2 linked regions of the Schizosaccharomyces pombe genome follow. Changing the gene in region 2 together with the main gene of any one other region gives a genetic interaction. Each region holds a gene or a part of one and is shown on either strand. Other genes may lie near its edges.

Region 1 (4,994 bases), on a different chromosome or scaffold from region 2:
CATTCATTCTCTGACCATTTGCTCTATATAAATTGATATTTCACAGGTTTGAAGATAGCCTCTTTCAAGATGTATATTAATCAAGAGGAAGATAATCGCATATCTTTAATGGAGAATGGTAGTCTTGAACAAAAGGTACGTTTAATCATTCTTTTATAATAAATCAACGGCTCACTAAGTAATTCTTCTTTATAGTGAGGCTCATGACCGTAGTCGTAAACTCGAATTATTAAGCATTAGAATCAATATTTTCGGTTTACAACTCAATATTATTATTAATCTCATACCGCTTGTCTTGCTTTTTGCTTTTTTTTGCCCTTGTATATATTTTTTGCATACTTTTCTGGCGGATTGTGAGATAGCCAAATCGACTTGCATAACCAGTGTTTTCAATTGTTTGATTTTTCATATGCCCAACTTGTCGGGCGATTGGAATATTACAGTTTGAAAAGAATGTTTGCAGTTTAAAAAGGATAAATATTTATGTTTGTTTGATGAGCTTTGCGTTTCCGAGCAGCAGTAAACCTCTTTAGTCTGGCAAGCAATACCATTAGTGTACTATTCATAATCTTATGCTATATAAAATCAAGGTGATTGAAAATTACATTGCTTGATATTTGTATTACAACAAAGAGCAGCGGGATTTTTTTTTTAAAAAAAGGTAGTTAAATTGTTTGATTATGTGTAAAAATGATTCGGAGATCCATTCGTAAAGAGAGGGAATGGTAATAAAAAAATAATTCATTACCCAAAGAAATGGTTAGCTATTTGTTCGCAGACCATATCATCTAATTTGAAAATAAATAAATAAATAAAATTAAAAATAAAAAGGTTTCAAATACAAATATTCGTTAAAGAATAATATCAGAAAGACACAAAAAGAGATTGAGGCTGTTCAAGGAACTTAGTGTCCATCAAATAAGGTGATAATTTAAATAATGTACTAGTCATTAAATTTTTCAAAAGAATAATTACAGGTCCAATTCAACAACCAAAACCTTTGATAAAATTGAAAAAGAAAGTATTTCCATCCTTATTGAACTTCACGCCCTATCAGAAGTAACCGATTTGAGGGCATCAGGACATGATTATCTCCCCATACCAAAAGCTTCTCAAGCGTTGGCTTTTTGCTTTCAAAATCGCATACCAATTTGTCATTCATTCCACGAATCCAGCTGACATCAAGTGCTTTTAGCATAGGTAATGGAAAATTGACAATATACTGTAATGCTTCATCAGTCACAAACGACATTCCATTTAAATCCAGAGTGCGAAGCGTATGCCCTGAATTAACCAATACTGCACGAACAGTTTTATCTCCAAGTGACAGACACCTTCTTAAGGACAATGTTTCTAAGCCTGACTGAATCTTCCATTCACCAAAAACTATAGAGGCCTCATCATCTGTTAACAGTTCCAAACCACTTAAATTTAGATGCTTAAGACGACCACAACAAGGACCTATACCTTGTTTCAAAACTTCATCAGTTAATTTTGTACAACCAGATAAACTAAGAGTATGCAAACCGCTTCCAATTTGGTTTAGTACATCTAATATACTTCCATCATTAATGATGCCGCCTGGTGATTCAATCTTCAAACTGACAAGATTTCTACAACCAGCTAATAGACGGACGCATTCATCATCAAGATAGAAAATTCTAGAGAGATTAAGGCTAATCAAATTTGGGCAACAGTCAACTATAGCGTTGATAACCGAAACATGAATTCGGGCAGTATCCGTAAGCTCTAAACTTATAAGCTTTGAACCCCGTTTTTTAAAAAAATTTATCCATTCTGAGGAAGAAACCAAAAAGGCACCTTGAAAAGATACATCTGTTAATTCAGTCAAATGATCCGCATAAAAGTGTAAAACTTGATCCTGCATTTGACCACAATAAGTAAGATGCAAAGTTTGAAGATTTGGGCAGTATTGAGCAATTTGGAAAAGTGAATCTGCTGTAATCTTTGAGCAATCATATAGTTTTAATTCAGTTTGACCCCCACTTAAGAATAATTTCACAGTAGTATCGTTAAGAGAGCGGTTTTTTGAAATTATTTGGCTAATTTTGTCCATATTCACTTGGCCAATATCCCCAAAAGCTTCGATATCATTTATGTATTCAGCAATAACTCGTATACACAAATCCTGAAGCTTAGGAACACTGATTTCTTCGTCCATGGTAGCGGCAGCCACCTTTTTACGGGTCAATGCTTTTCTTTTTCTCGTCCTTAATTCAGGTACCGATCGATCTTCAGCACCACGACTACAAGGATAACATAGCCACCCTTTCTCTGAATTGCTGTATTTGCTGTATGGGGTTATTGTAAAGCGACAATTACAGTGTGCGCAAAAATCTAGTTTGCCCGTATGCTCCCTTGCTTTATAAGAAAACCCAGCTCTTGAATTCATTGAAAAAGTGTCCTCGTTGTCTTCAGCTTCTTCATCCGTTTTCTTCTTCTTTTTTTGATTTCGTAGATTTCGTCGTTTCACTACTGGTATCTCAATTGTCGTTGTCGACATCGAGTTTTCATCTTCGTTGTTTTCTTCAACAGAAGTCGGTGTTTGAATAACTTCTGATTCTGTCCCAGTCGATTGCCCTGCTGACTCCTCGCTTTGACGAGGAGGACGAGCACGTCCTAATGCTGAAGCATTGATACCTTGAGACTGAATAATGCATTAGTAACTCCGAGCTAAGAAAGAGTCATCACATACTCTTAAAAATTCTGTTAAAGCAGAATTTGGCCCTCTCACCCGACTTCCACTTGACATTTTAAAGAAATCCTTAGTATGCTGAGGATAAGGTGGAAGTGTGGTTGAGTTTAATTAAATCGCTTCAGATCGCGTGGCAACTTGTCTCATACCAACCACTACTATGCATATATCTACTCTAAAAGTGGACCAATTACAAAATGAAGCTGTAGATATTAATTCAAACGATACAATTGATTCCATAAATTGGAAAAATACTCGCAATAACCATACTACTCAGGCGTCTCTTCAAGCAGACAATAATGATGAGCAAAGTAATGGGCAGGCTCCATTTTCTACTACTTATTCAGAGATAAATAACATTCATGATGTACCAGGCAATCAAGATGAATGGTCATCTTCTCCCATTGCGGGCATTATTGTAGAAAGTGAAGATGAGGAAGTGGTTGAAAACAATTTACATTCACAAATGGGGACGTCATGTAATAAAATAAACTCGAATAGTAATAAGGGAAAAGAAAATATGCATTTTGTTCTAGATGATAATGGTGATTCAAAGGGGAATGCTTCAAATCAACAAGTCGAGCGTGACGACAAGTTAGATATGGAGACAACGCGCTGGAACGGAAAAGAGTTTGAAGAACCTCTGTCAACAAACAAAAAATTGATTATCCAGTCAAACAACACCTCATCTCAACATTCGACACCCCCATTATCCATTTCTGATACCAGTACACACACCGGTAGCAGCACAGACAATGTAGAAGCAAATCCCAATACAGGTTTTTCTAGTGCCAGAAAACGTTCATTAAGGTCCTCGAATTTGAAAAAAAAGTTTGTGCCATTGTCATCTCCAGAAGAATCTAATGAATCCGAATTTATTGATGATGATGAAAGTGATGAAGTTGCTAGCATAATTGATATCAAAGAGGATGAAACTTTTGATAGTAAAGTAGAAATTCCAGAAGCTGCTCCAAGTTCTTCTACGGAAAGTGATGAAGAGTCAATCCCTTTAAGTTACCAGTCCAAACGAAGGAGGGTATCCGCTAGGGCTTCTTCTTCCGCGTCCTCTTCCTCTAGAACACAAGCAAAATCAATTCCATCACATGAAAGAACCCATTATCGTCTGATTCGACAACATCCTGAACTAGAACATGTTTGGGAGAAATTGGAAGAAGAAGCACCTCGTGAAGTGAAACAGATCGAGCAACCCAAAGAGTTGGTCCTAAACCTTCTCCCTTTTCAACGAGAAGGTGTATATTGGTTAAAACGACAAGAAGATTCCTCTTTTGGTGGAGGAATCTTGGCCGATGAAATGGGTATGGGTAAGACTATTCAAACAATTGCGTTGTTGCTTTCAGAACCTCGAGGTAAGCCAACCTTGGTTGTTGCTCCGGTTGTAGCAATTATGCAATGGAAAGAAGAGATTGATACACATACCAATAAAGCACTGAGTACATATCTTTATTATGGCCAGGCTCGTGATATTTCAGGAGAAGAGCTTTCGAGCTATGATGTTGTACTAACGAGTTACAATGTAATTGAATCAGTTTACAGGAAGGAACGCAGCGGATTCAGAAGGAAAAACGGTGTTGTAAAAGAAAAGTCATTACTTCATCAAATGGAGTTTTACCGAATTATACTTGATGAGGCCCATGGTATCAAATCAAGGACTTGTAACACTGCCAGAGCTGTTTGTGGCTTAAGAACGACAAGAAAGATATGTCTTTCAGGAACACCTTTGCAAAACCGTATTGGAGAATTATTTTCACTTCTTCGGTTCCTACGGGCAGATCCTTTTGCTTACTACTATTGCTTGCAATGTGAATGTAAATCTCTGCACTGGAGATTTTCCGATAGAAGTAATTGCGACGAATGCGGCCATAAACCAATGAGTCATACTTGCTATTTTAACGCTGAAATGCTAAAACCAATACAAAAGTTTGGATACGAAGGTCCAGGAAAGCTAGCTTTTAAAAAGGTGCATTCTTTATTAAAACACATTATGTTACGTCGAACAAAATTAGAGAGGGCTGATGACCTTGGATTACCTCCTCGAGTCGTTGAAGTGAGGAAAGATTTATTCAACGAAGAAGAGGAAGATGTATACCAATCTTTATATATGGATTCAAAAAGAAAATTTAATACATATCTTGCTGAAGGTGTCGTTTTGAATAATTATGCAAACATTTTCCAGCTAATTACACGAATGCGCCAAATGGCAGATCATCCTGACCTGGTGTTAGCTAGCAAACGAAAAACAGTTGATATTGAAAATCAG
Region 2 (3,502 bases):
TCCGTTGGAACTTTAGATGTTTGCTATGTTTTACACCTTATGACTATTTTTTGGATACGGTTTTAATTTAATACTTAATTAATAGAGACGAGAAATATTATAAAGTCCTAAACACTTTGTAAGTTTTGTATTCGTAGCAATCTATGCGGTATTCATTAAATGAATCGTTATTGAATTAGTTGAGTGTAAAAGTGACTTTATCATAGAATCATTTTTACTACGGCGCTAGGAAGAGACGTTAATTAAATTACCTTGCTACAACAATCAAACGTAAATACAATGCATATATTGATGAGTTTCATTGTTACGCTAATATACAAGATAGATCAGCCTAATGCTGAATTTTTTACATTTGTTTAGATATGTCAAGCTAAAGAGTTCCTGGATTCTACCAGAAACTTGGAAATCCAATAAAAATAATCCGATTTATTTTATCTGCCATAACATTGATTTTAAAAATTTTAATAAGTTTTACCTAAGCAGCAAGAATGTCGGAATCGCCAGCATCAATAACTGCTAATACACCGACGCGAAATAATTTACCACATGCAGTTCCTAAATCAATACTTGAAAACAGTTAGTAAAACAAAATTCGACTCCCAATTAAGATCTCTGTCGAAATCAAAAAGGCTTCAAAAAGCTAGCCATTAAACAGTGTTTCTCAACATCAATTGCTATATTTTTCTTTCAAAGAAATGATGGTCATAAAATTAGCATAGTTTAAATGTAATGGTTTAAAAGTAAAAATAATTTCAAAACGCTTCTAAGTCAAAGTCGATGTTGAGGAAAACCCTTACAAGCTAGTTACTTACTTGTTTCCACTGTAGTGGTGTACAGAGCAGCGAGAAAGCATCGCATAGTATTCCAACTCGGATTTACGTAGAGGAGGGGCATTTGCGGCAATGAGGATCAATTTAGCTTTACCAGAACGAAGGGTTTTTAAAGTCGATTTGTATCCCAAAACGTATTTCCCACTTTTCATAGTCAACGCCAACTTGGAATTAATAGTATCTCCCGACTTCTTTCCCTTTTTGGAAACAGCGGCAACGGGTGCAGTGGTAGGTGCAGCAGACATTTTAAAAAAAAAACAAGGAAATAAAGAGATAAAAGGCTTAGGGTTTTCTGCCGAAAGATAGAAGTTTGTAAAGTTGTTAACTAAATGAAATTCAAAGTAATGTTTTCCAAGAAAAACAGTCACATAAATCCAAACAACAAAACTTTTAGTTTCTGTGCATTGGTGCGTAGTTCGTTAGTGTGTGGTACAATTTGCTATAATAAAATGTAAACAAAAAATGTCAAGTAATAAAAAGCAAATTTCTCAAGGTAAAGAAATCATCACTTTTCATTTTTTGTTTTATTTTAATTATTTCCTCAATAGTAAAAGATTTGTATTTTACGATATCTCGCGGATCCAATGGCTCAATAAACTATAATGCAGTTATTTCTAGCCTTTGTCCCTCTAACGATAAATTGTTCTTTGCAGTCGATGCGCTTATCCTTCAATTCATTTAGAAGTATTTATTGAAGCTAAATTGTAGTCTTGAAAATGCCTAAACTGTACGTTAAATTATTGATGGTGCAGTACGAATTGAGAGCAGCAAATAAATGGTTTTGAGTTCTTTTTTTTTTATGTAAATATGTGCCATTTGACAAAATCGTTAAGCGTTTTTTTCGGTCTTCCTAGGTCTACGGGTTCTTTGTATTAAGTTTTTTTTTTTTTTTTTTTTTTTTTTTGTTTTCCCCTACTATAAAGAATCTTGTCATACATATTTGAACAAATAATACGCGATAAGAAGGAAATAAACTTTTATTCACAATATATGAAAAACCGAGGAATAACCTGGTTAGAGGGTCTCTACATATTTCCCAATTTTTTATTTACTAAAGAAAAAATAAAATATCAAATCATAAATAATGATTTTATCCTCAATATTTAACAAATAAAAATAAAATCTTGATTGAAGAAATAAAATCCATTTCATTTTTAACTTAGCAGAATGTCCTTTAAAACATAGATTAAAAAAATATTCGCTTTAGCTTCTTTTAATTGTGAATAAAGCCCTAAAACACTCTAAAGCTTTGCAGATGATTGTTTGTATGAAAAAAAATCTCAACACTGTACCATATATCAATGCTAAACGTAAAAATATGCCAATCTTAAATCTGAACGCACTGGTTTTTTAAATCAAATATATTAGAAGTAAATTAGTCCAAAAGTTGAACAGGTGCGATTTTTTCATTAATTAATTAATTTAATTTTTTTTTTGGGACACATCGTACACGAATCTTCTTCGCTTTATACTTTATGAATTAAGAATCTCTTACTTTGTCAACTTGGTGGAGCAATTACAAAAACAGTTAGAAAAATTCATATAAAATGCGTATGGACGAATTTTATACAAAGGTCTATGACGCTGTTTGCGAGATTCCATATGGTAAAGTAAGTACTTATGGAGAAATTGCAAGGTATGTTGGCATGCCTTCATATGCCAGACAAGTAGGTCAAGCTATGAAACATTTACATCCTGAAACTCATGTTCCTTGGCATCGAGTCATCAATAGCCGTGGCACCATTTCTAAAAGAGATATCTCTGCTGGTGAACAGAGACAGAAGGATCGGTTGGAAGAAGAGGGTGTCGAAATTTACCAAACGTCTTTAGGAGAGTACAAGTTGAATTTACCAGAATACATGTGGAAGCCTTAATACGATTACTTAATTGGCAAATATCGTTGCATTTTCTATTTCTCTTGAAACGAGCAATCAACCTCCTTCTTTTGGTCAAAATGTAAATCTAATCTTTTTATCTCTAATAATGTCCTCAACATTTAACGTCTATCAACTTCGGTATAAAAATACGCTTAGAATATAATACATTTTTCCTTTTAACAACGTAATGTTCTTACGGGTTCAAGAAAGTTTCATTAGTTCATAACCATATATGTATGAAAATTTAGCGTATAAAGTTACTTAATACATTAAAAGTGATCTTTTGTCGCAACTTAATGTAAAATACCTGAAGAGATAAATACAGATGAATTTCAGAATTCAAAACAAAATGTACCATAAAACTTCAGCAACAGATTTCTTAATCTAATTTCATCACTAAGATACGCTCAATTCTCGGAGATATTTTCAGGCTCTCCTTGTGTCGGAGAATGGATTGATGATGATGGCGATGGGTTTTTAGGAACAAGTCGTATTTGCTCCAACATAAGTCGTCTTTTACAAAGAACAAGGCCATCACGAGAAAGTTCAGAATCATTCACCGAAGGAACGACAATATCTGTTCCAATCGGCTGGTGCCAGGTACCTCTGAAAAACATTCCTCCGATTCTGACAATAGGGTGCGGTTGGTCGATTCCTAAAATCGAAAAGTCATCGGAAGATTGAAAGTCCAAAGATGAATTTTGGAATTGGAATACAATATTTTCAACGTCATCAACGTCAGTTTCAAGACTTGGCGAATTGCTCGACATAATCCCTAGCAATTTTGTCAAACGA

The links.
Region 1: mutations in atl1 (region 2) and rhp7 impair growth when combined (synthetic growth defect), as found in Schizosaccharomyces pombe (one study listed by BioGRID).

The regions. Positions count from the first base shown.
Region 1 is NC_003421.2:103,459-108,452, reverse strand, and holds rhp7 (DNA repair protein), read right to left. Parts: upstream 2,774-4,994; coding exon 2,717-2,773; exon of another isoform or gene 2,669-2,716; coding exon 1,034-2,668; 3' UTR 605-1,033; downstream 1-604. Other genes in the region: SPOM_SPCC330.19C (uncharacterized protein), read left to right, coding at 116-135, 196-448; rhp16 (ATP-dependent helicase), read left to right, coding at 2,877-4,994. UniProt on the Schizosaccharomyces pombe protein: Involved in global genome repair (GGR) via nucleotide excision repair (NER), in conjunction with rhp16, after UV irradiation.
Region 2 is NC_003424.3:5,094,736-5,098,237, forward strand, and holds atl1 (alkyltransferase-like protein Atl1), read left to right. Parts: upstream 1-2,159; 5' UTR 2,160-2,377; coding exon 2,378-2,704; 3' UTR 2,705-2,927; downstream 2,928-3,502. Other genes in the region: MAP kinase kinase kinase Win1, read left to right, coding at 1-16; rpl3002 (60S ribosomal protein eL30), read right to left, coding at 476-566, 813-1,075; TFIIIC subunit Sfc7, read right to left, coding at 3,115-3,477; ubiquitin conjugating enzyme Ubc14, read right to left, coding at 3,452-3,502. UniProt on the Schizosaccharomyces pombe protein: Involved in DNA damage recognition. Binds DNA containing O(6)-methylguanine and larger O(6)-alkylguanine adducts.